Linked DNA regions of Oryctolagus cuniculus. The protein of the gene in region 1 purifies or fractionates together with the protein of each later gene. This does not show direct contact. Links are inferred from orthologs where the notes say so. Each region holds a gene or a part of one and is shown on either strand. Other genes may lie near its edges.

The links. Proteins that work in one complex are often made in the same cells at the same time.
Region 2: the proteins of STX10 (region 1) and NAPA purify together in Homo sapiens (affinity purification with mass spectrometry; 3 studies listed by BioGRID and IntAct, with this or other methods). This does not show direct contact. The link is inferred for Oryctolagus cuniculus from reciprocal best matches to the Homo sapiens genes STX10 and NAPA.

The regions. Positions count from the first base shown.
Region 1 is NC_091447.1:62,546,681-62,550,901, forward strand, and holds STX10 (syntaxin-10), read right to left. Parts: upstream 2,801-4,221; 5' UTR 2,786-2,800; coding exon 2,531-2,785; intron 2,380-2,530; coding exon 2,181-2,379; intron 2,043-2,180; coding exon 1,948-2,042; intron 1,851-1,947; coding exon 1,788-1,850; intron 1,111-1,787; coding exon 1,003-1,110; intron 897-1,002; coding exon 790-896; intron 705-789; coding exon 610-704; intron 520-609; exon of another isoform or gene 513-519; coding exon 436-512; 3' UTR 141-435; downstream 1-140. UniProt on the Homo sapiens protein: SNARE involved in vesicular transport from the late endosomes to the trans-Golgi network.
Region 2 is NC_091449.1:10,142,322-10,145,821, forward strand, and holds part of NAPA (alpha-soluble NSF attachment protein), read left to right. Parts: intron 1-685; coding exon 686-732; intron 733-1,256; coding exon 1,257-1,334; intron 1,335-1,655; coding exon 1,656-1,711; intron 1,712-1,781; coding exon 1,782-1,866; intron 1,867-2,420; coding exon 2,421-2,525; intron 2,526-3,006; coding exon 3,007-3,075; intron 3,076-3,351; coding exon 3,352-3,402; intron 3,403-3,500. UniProt on the Homo sapiens protein: Required for vesicular transport between the endoplasmic reticulum and the Golgi apparatus. Together with GNA12 promotes CDH5 localization to plasma membrane.

The sequences.
Region 1 (4,221 bases):
TTACCAGAAGCATTGTTTCTCTCCCAAACATCCGCTATGGCAGTCATACACAGTCACATACACACACAGACCCCCGCAGTGGGTGCAATGAGCTGGGGTCAGCTACAAGTTCAAAATCAACATGATGCAGGATACAAATACATATTTAAAAAAAAAAAAAGGCTGCGGGTTTATTTCCAGATTGGCACTTGTGAAGGTACAATGGCCACCACTGACGGCCCTGGGGTCCCGGAAGTTAACACGGGTTGGGGGTGGGGGGAGTGTGGCAGGTCTCCCACCTCCACCCGCTAAGTGCACTTGAGACAGGACCCTGGTGGTGGTGGTGGTGTGGGGGGTGCTTCAGCCCAGGGCCCTGGATGAGAGCCTGGGGGGGGGCTCCAGCTGTTCCTCCTGGGGGTGGGGGCAGGCCCAGCGGGCAGGTCGCATAGGTCAAGGTCAGAGCAAGACCAGCAGGAGCAAGACCAGGAGCAGCACCCCAAGAAGCACCAGGATGGCACACCACTGCTGGCGATCTAGAATGGGAAAGGGGTGGAGTCACAGCGGGGTGGGTGGGGTGGAGGCGGAGCCACCTGTTACCCGCCCCCTTCCAGACGGGCACGCGTGACTCACCGCTCGTCATGTGGGACACCTTGGCCATCTTACGGAGGACGCCGTCCATGCGGGACTGGGTGTGGTCCATCTCGTGGCCAAAGGCATCCAGCATACTGTCAAGACCACAGTGGTGTTCCAGGGCCCCCAAGCACACCGGCCCCGGGGGTACCCACCCACTGCTGGAGTCCCCTGCCTCACCTGCCCTGCTCGTCCAGCTCCTCCCCGACGCGGCCGGACATGTGTTTTAGGACCCGGATGCTCCCGGACACCATGTCCAGCTGTTGGTCCTGTTGGTCCATGATCAGCTGCGGGGAGGGGTGGGGGCGAGGAGGAAGGGTGCCAGCTGTTTGCTGTCGGCAGGGACCGCCCCCACCCCTACCCTGGGGGGGTCCCCTGGCCACCAGCACACACCTGCTGCGTGGCCTGCTGCTCCTCAATGTATCGAGAAGTGGCCGAGACCACGCTGGCGTCCAGCAGGTCGCTGGGTGACTTCTGGGCAGCTGGTTTGCCCGCCAACATCTGCAGAGACACGCGGGTCACAAGTTAGGGGAGGGCCGGCCACCTCAGGGCAGGTCTGCACTGTGGGGCTGGGGGGCGGCATCTGGGGTGGGACAGCCAGAAGTCCTCACACCTGCCACCTACAACACTAGCAAAGGGGACCCCAAGGCAGCCTTGTCACCGACCCTCAATTTTTTCATCTGAAAAGGGGGAGACCTATAACCTTCCTGATCCTGGAATGAGGATTTAATGAATGGAGCCATGGAAAAGGCTTGGAACAGAGACACACAGAGAGAGATCTATCCACAGGTTCACTCCCCAAATGTCTCCCTGCCCCCTACATTCAGGGCCAGGCCGGGCTGAAGCCAGGAGCCAGGAACTCAATCTGAGTCTCCCACGTGGGTGGGTGGGTGGAGAGATCCAAAGCCTTGAGCCATCCCCTGCTGGCTCCCAGGGCGCACATTAGGAGCGAGCTGGCCTCCTAAGATGTGCATTAGCAGGAAGGTGGAGCCGGAAACGGACCCCAGGTTCTGCAACAGAGGAACCCGTGTGTGCATATGTGTGTGTGTGTGTGTGTAACTTTGATTTCCATTTTTTCCCGCGAACATAATAAGCACGATTGCATTGTTTAGGGAACAATAACAGGGGGAAAAGCAACGCCCAGGGATTCAGATGGGCATAGAGTAAGGACGCCGTACCTCTCTGTTTTTCCTCTCCATGAAGGCTATGGCGGCCGGGCTCACGATATGGTCCTTCATTTCCTGGGAGGGGGACGAGGACGGTGGTATTAGGGAGGAAAGACACCCTGACTTCTGCACGCTCCCCACCCCACCCCCCACAACCGGGCCCTCTGCGCACCTGCACCGCCTCCCGCATCCGCTCCACAAATTCCTTTCTCTCCTGCAGATCCCCAGCGGGCAGCTTGAACTTGCCGGGGTTGGCTTCCACGATTCGTGGGCTGGGAGTCAAGGGTCAAGGCCAGGGCTAGAGACGAACCCCCTCCACCCCCAGGGGGATCCGGCCTCTCAGTGCCCACCCCCCACCCCCGACCCGGGCAGTGCCAGCGCGTTCGTAGCTCTCCCGGAGGATATCGATGGTCTCTTCCAGGTCCTCGAGGTCCCATTCGATGCTGCGCAGGCCATTTCGCAGCTCATTGGCCGTCCAGTCCAGCTCCTCGCGGCCGCCCGTGCCGCCTTCCTGGAGGAGTTCGCACCAGCGCTGGTGCAGCCCGCGGGCCGTGTTCACCGCCTTCTGCACCTCGCTGCGGGCGGGGGCACAGCAGCAGCGCGGCTGGGGGCAGGCGGACCCAATCGCGTCGCCCCCGAACGAACCTGAGGCTCCAGAGACCCCCACCCCCACCCCCAGACCCTCCCGGAGACCCCAGCCCCGACGGCCGGCGCGCGCACCGATCGCCCTCCCCGGCCCCGTCGCTGTCACTCACCCTCGCACTACAAAGAATGGATCTTCGAGAGACATGGCCGCCCCCCTCCCCCAGGAGGCCGCAGCCCCTCCGGGCTGGGGCTCGCGAGCCACTTGGTTGCCTCGCAGCCCAGGAGGAAGCGCCGCCACCCCCGCCCCCGGTTCGCCACCATCGAGAGCGGGACCTCCAGAGGAGAGAGAGGTCCGAAAGGAGGAAACTTCCGTTCCCGCTGCCGCCATCTTGGGTGTGGGCAAAGGCCACACTTCCGGTCCGCATGTCCCGCCTTCTCAGTCACAGTGCCGGGCCGTTGAATGGGCGGGAGGGGTTCGCAGTCTAAGTGAATTGTTTGCTTTTGAGGCAGTGTAAATAATAATAGTCGGATTCCAGCTGAGAAAGGGTGGGGGGTCAGTGGGTTCCATCCCCGGAGCCCGCCCCGGGGCGTCCGTCCCAGCCCAGGGTCCCCAGCAGCAGGTGTGGGAAGGGCTGCGGGCATTTTAGCGGCGCTCTTCCTGCAGGGCGTGGGTGGGTGGGGGGAGAACCCCCGAGGTCGTATTGGGGCGGAGCGACCGCGGGAGGAGACCCCTGGGGGGCGGGTGTGGTGTCACCTGGGCGCGCGAGCCTGAGGGGGACCCCTGAGGAGGCACCCCGGTGAAGGTCCCCGGGAAATCGGAGGTGGGGGGCCGGGTCTCCCCTCTCGGGAGGGTGTGCGGGATGCCTCCGGGGGTCGCCCGTGGTGTGGGGCAGAGTCGCCGCTGTGTGCGGCCTGCAGACGGGACTTCTGGACTGTAGGGCAGGGGCGGGATCGGTTAAGGATGAGGTGATTTGGGGGGTCCTTTCAGGGTCGCCGCCGTCGGGGGGTTCCGTAGTGGGAGCCCGCGCGGGCGGGGTGCTTGCCCGGAGGGGCGTCGCTCCTTCCTGGCCCCCACGAGGGAAGGAAACGCCGCCTTCCTCTTCCCCCGCCCCACACGCCCGGCCCCGACGGACTCCGAGTCCGGAAGCCCCAGGCTCCAGCCGGCCGCGCGGGGGCGGGGCGGCAGCCGCGGAGGGGGCGTGTCCGGGCCGAGGCCCCGCCCCCAGAAGCCCCAGGCTCCAGCCGGCCGCGGCAGTCCGCGCGCACGGGGGTGGGGCGGGGGCGGAGGAGGGGGCGTGCCCAGAGCCGAGGCTCCGCCCCCGGAAGCCCGCTCCCGCCCGCCGTGGTGCTCCCAGCCCCATGTCCTTATATGGGCAGCCGGAAGTGGCTGGCGCGTTCGCCCTACGTCACTTCTTCCAAATTTAGCTGTGGAAGTCAGCGGGGCCCCAGTGGCGGGAAGGCTGCGTAAGCCGGGGGAGGGGGGTGGAGGGCGCCTCTTAAAGGGCCCGCACCACGAGTGAATGCAACCATTTGAACAATGTTCTTTTTTTTTTCTATTTTTTTTTTAAGCTACGGGAATTGAGTCTTCTCGTGGCGGAGGGTGGGGCCGATGTTTTCTCCGCGTGGCTCAGTTTCCAGCTCCGCCCCCCCGGGGCGCAGAGGCAGAGCAGGGCCCCCTCTCCTCCGCCGCCGACGGGGGGCGGCAGCCACGTGTTCGTCGCCGGGGCCCGTGCCCCGTTTGCGGCCGGGGCCCAGCCCACCTGGGGGGTGTCGCATCGCAGCGGTGAGCCTGTGGGCGATGGCTGGGCTGCGTTCCGGAGTCTGCGGACGACCACCCACACCCGCCCCCTCCGCCCGGTGG
Region 2 (3,500 bases), on another chromosome or scaffold:
CTTCCTGGTAGCACCCCGCTGCCGTGGTCTGCCCGGGCCCTGCTGCCCCCCTGCCTGCCAGCAGCCGTTTCCTGAGATGCGTTAAAGTGATGTTCTTAAAAATGCCCACCCGAGAGCTCGCGTCTGCTGGAAGACGCCTCCCACTCAGCTTCTCTCCTCCAAATAACCTGTCAAAAAAAAAACAAAAAAAAAAAAACCTTTCCCAAATTTGAAGTCTTGCAAGAGATGGCACAGCAGAGGTAGCCAGTTCCTCCTCTGGTGCTGTGCTGGTGTGCTTGGGTTTCTGGTGACACCTGCAGGTACCCAGGCCAGATCGGGGGACCGAGAGCTGTGTCCGCCTGCCCGCCCCCTCACCAGGATGTGGGGCAGGAAGCTGGCAAGGGCATACACAAGGCGTCAGTGTGCACAGCCCGCAGCCGCTAAGCGCACTGCACCAGGCCCGGCTGCCCTTGGCCCTGCCACGCCCCTGAGAACCAAGGCAGGCCTGCTTCAAAGCACCCACGGGCAGCTGGCCGTCCTCCGGACATGGCACCGTGGGAGAGGGGCCCTGCTGCAAGACTGCCCAGCGAGTCAGTCCAGCCACCCCTCTGGGTGCCCGGGATCCACGGGCAGGCCCGGCCTCCCCTCCGCAGGCTGCTACGAGGACTTCACTCTCATGTCTCCCACCTCCCTGTTCTCTCCACAGAGGCCATCAACTGTCTGATGAGAGCCATCGAGATCTACACGGACATGGTGAGGGTCCCGGCTGCCCCTCCCTCCCCCAGGGCCCTGCCTTCTGTGCCAAGCAGGTGCGGAAGGGGATGTGGGAACCTGCGGGCTCCCTGAGCTGAGAGTGGTCCCCTCAACTGGTTCAGGCTGGCTGGGACAGGAGCACGACAGTCCCACTCTCCCCTGGCCTGCCTCGCCTAGCCGGCCCCTCGCAGCAGTGAGGCTGGCCCAAGGGTCAGCAGAGCCTCAAGGGAGCTCAGCCCCCACCTCCCCACCCCCGCGCCTGCGATGCAGCCCAGGAGCCAGTGATGGATGACCTGCACGGCCTGGGCGCTGCCCGCTCCTGCCTCTTGGCCTCCCCTCGCCCACTGTGCAGAGGGTGGGCTGGGGCTGTGGGAATCCCTGTGATTACTGCGCACCAGGCTGAGGCCGGTCGGAGAGTGCTCAGCCCCCGGGAACCCAGGGCGTCCCAAGGCCTGGACAGGAGGACCCTGAAGAGCCACGGCCGAATGTCGATGGCCACAGTGACCTCTTCTGTGTCACCCCAGGGCCGGTTCACCATCGCAGCCAAGCACCACATCTCCATCGCCGAGATCTATGAGACAGAGCTGGTGGACATTGAGAAGGTGAGCGGGGGCCGGGGGTCGGGACCAGGGCCTCTAACCCCCACCCCGCGGACATTGAGAAGGTGGGGGGCGGGGCTGGGGCCTCTCACCCCCCCCCACATTGAGATGGTGAGCGGGGCCGGGGGCCAGGACCAGGGCCTCCAACCCCCACCCCGCGGACATTGAGAAGGTGGGGGGCGGGGCCGGGTCCTCTCACCCCCCCCCCCCCATTGAGAAGATGAGAGCGGAGCCTCTCACCCCCCTGCCGGGGGTTGGGCTTCTCTGATATCTGAGCCCCAGGAAAGGGGCCTCCCTGCCCCCCTCCCTCTCGTGTCTCCCCAGGCCATTGCCCACTACGAGCAGTCCGCGGACTACTACAAAGGCGAGGAGTCTAACAGGTACCCGGCCCCCCGCCTGCCCCGCCCCTCGGCGGCCCACCTGCCGCCCCTCACCCCGCCCCTCCCGCAGCTCAGCCAACAAGTGTCTGCTGAAGGTGGCCGGCTACGCCGCGCAGCTGGAGCAGTATCAGAAAGCCATCGACATCTATGAACAGGTGGGGACCCCTGCCCAGGGCCCCCCTCTCCTTTCACCCACTCCCCGCTCTGTCACCCCCTTGGCCTCCCTGGTGCACGGCCAGGCTAACGTGTGCACCCACAGCCCAGCCCTTGCGGTGCAGTGTCCCCTTCCCGCCCATTCGCACGTGGCTTCCTGGGGAGGATGGGAGGCCTGGGCGGCCCTGGGGCCCTCCTCCGTGGTGGGAGGCAGGGAGTGTCACGCGGCTCCCACGGCTGTGCCAGGAGGGCTGGGCCACGGCCATGAGGGAGGCAAGCAGCTGGCCCCGGGGGGAGAGAGGGGCGGGCGCTGCCTCCTGTTCCCGTGGCTGCCGCCCCCTGCCCGCCAACGCGCCAGCCTTCTCCCCATGGTCTCAGGCGCCCCGAGGCCCAGGGTCACCTGGCTTCAGCCCCCACCCCGGCCACCATCAGGTCCTGGTCCTGGTCACTTCGGTTCCAGGTGCTCACCCAGGCCCTTGTCTCCCTGCCCACGGGTCCCAGATTAGCAGGGCTTGTCCCCAGGGGCCTGAGGTCACAGTGCTGGCTCTGGCTACAGGTGGGGACCACCGCCATGGACAGCCCCCTCCTCAAGTACAGCGCCAAGGACTACTTCTTCAAGGCGGCCCTGTGCCACTTCTGCATCGACATGCTCAACGCCAAGGTGAGCCCAGGCCCCCAGCTCGCTCGCGGCTGGCCGCCCGCCTTGGTGGGGGCGCTCTGGCTCCTTGCCGCCCCCCGCGGGCCAGCCTGTTGTGCACAGGAAGCCCTCCCTGACCGGCCCCCCGGGCCCTCCCCATGGCTTTGTTGGGCCAGGTTCACATCCCCCCGCCCTGTGCGCTGAACGGTCACTGCCCTCTGGCCCTCCCAGGGTTCACGCAGGGGTCAAGGGTGTGAGGGGCCAGGCTTGCCTTGTTTGCTCCCCTCCCCCGCCAGGCCAGGCTGGGCACTGGACACCTGCCCCCACCGCCCACCTCCCCTGCAGCCCGCTCCACAGCCAGGCTGGCTCCAGGCTCGGCTCCCGGAGGCACCGCTGGGCACAGAGCCAGGGGGCCCCGCGCAGGGGAGGGGCAGGGCGCTGACTCAGGGCTGCCAGGCCCCTCTGTTAACTGCCCTCTCCCTGTCCCCAACCCTCACCCGCCCAGCTCGCTGTCCAGAAGTATGAGGAGCTGTTCCCAGCCTTCTCTGATTCCCGGGAGTGCAAGCTGATGAAAGTGAGTGCCAGGCCCTCGCTGCCCTGCCCCCGCCTCGGGGGGCGCGGGCTCCGGCTGTCCGACAGTCTTCCGAGGGTTCGCCTCCCTCTGTCTGGGTTCTCCTTACAGTCAGGGCCGGAAGCCTGGGTTCCTCCTCTCCCTCCCTCCCTCTCTCCGTCACACACACACTCCCCGAGACAGGGTAGGGTGGGGTGGGAGCACAGCCTGCCCTTCCCCCGTGGCGTGAGGGCCCCAGACGGGCAAGCAAGGCCTGACCCCTGTGCCCTGCGCCTGCAGAAGTTGTTGGACGCCCACGAGGAGCAGAACGTGGACAGCTACACGGAGTCGGTGAGTGGCCCTCGGAACGTCACCTTCTCTAACCCCGGCTCACCCTGGAGAGACCCGGGAACAGCGGATGGGGCAGGTGGGAGGGGCTGACTTCCTGT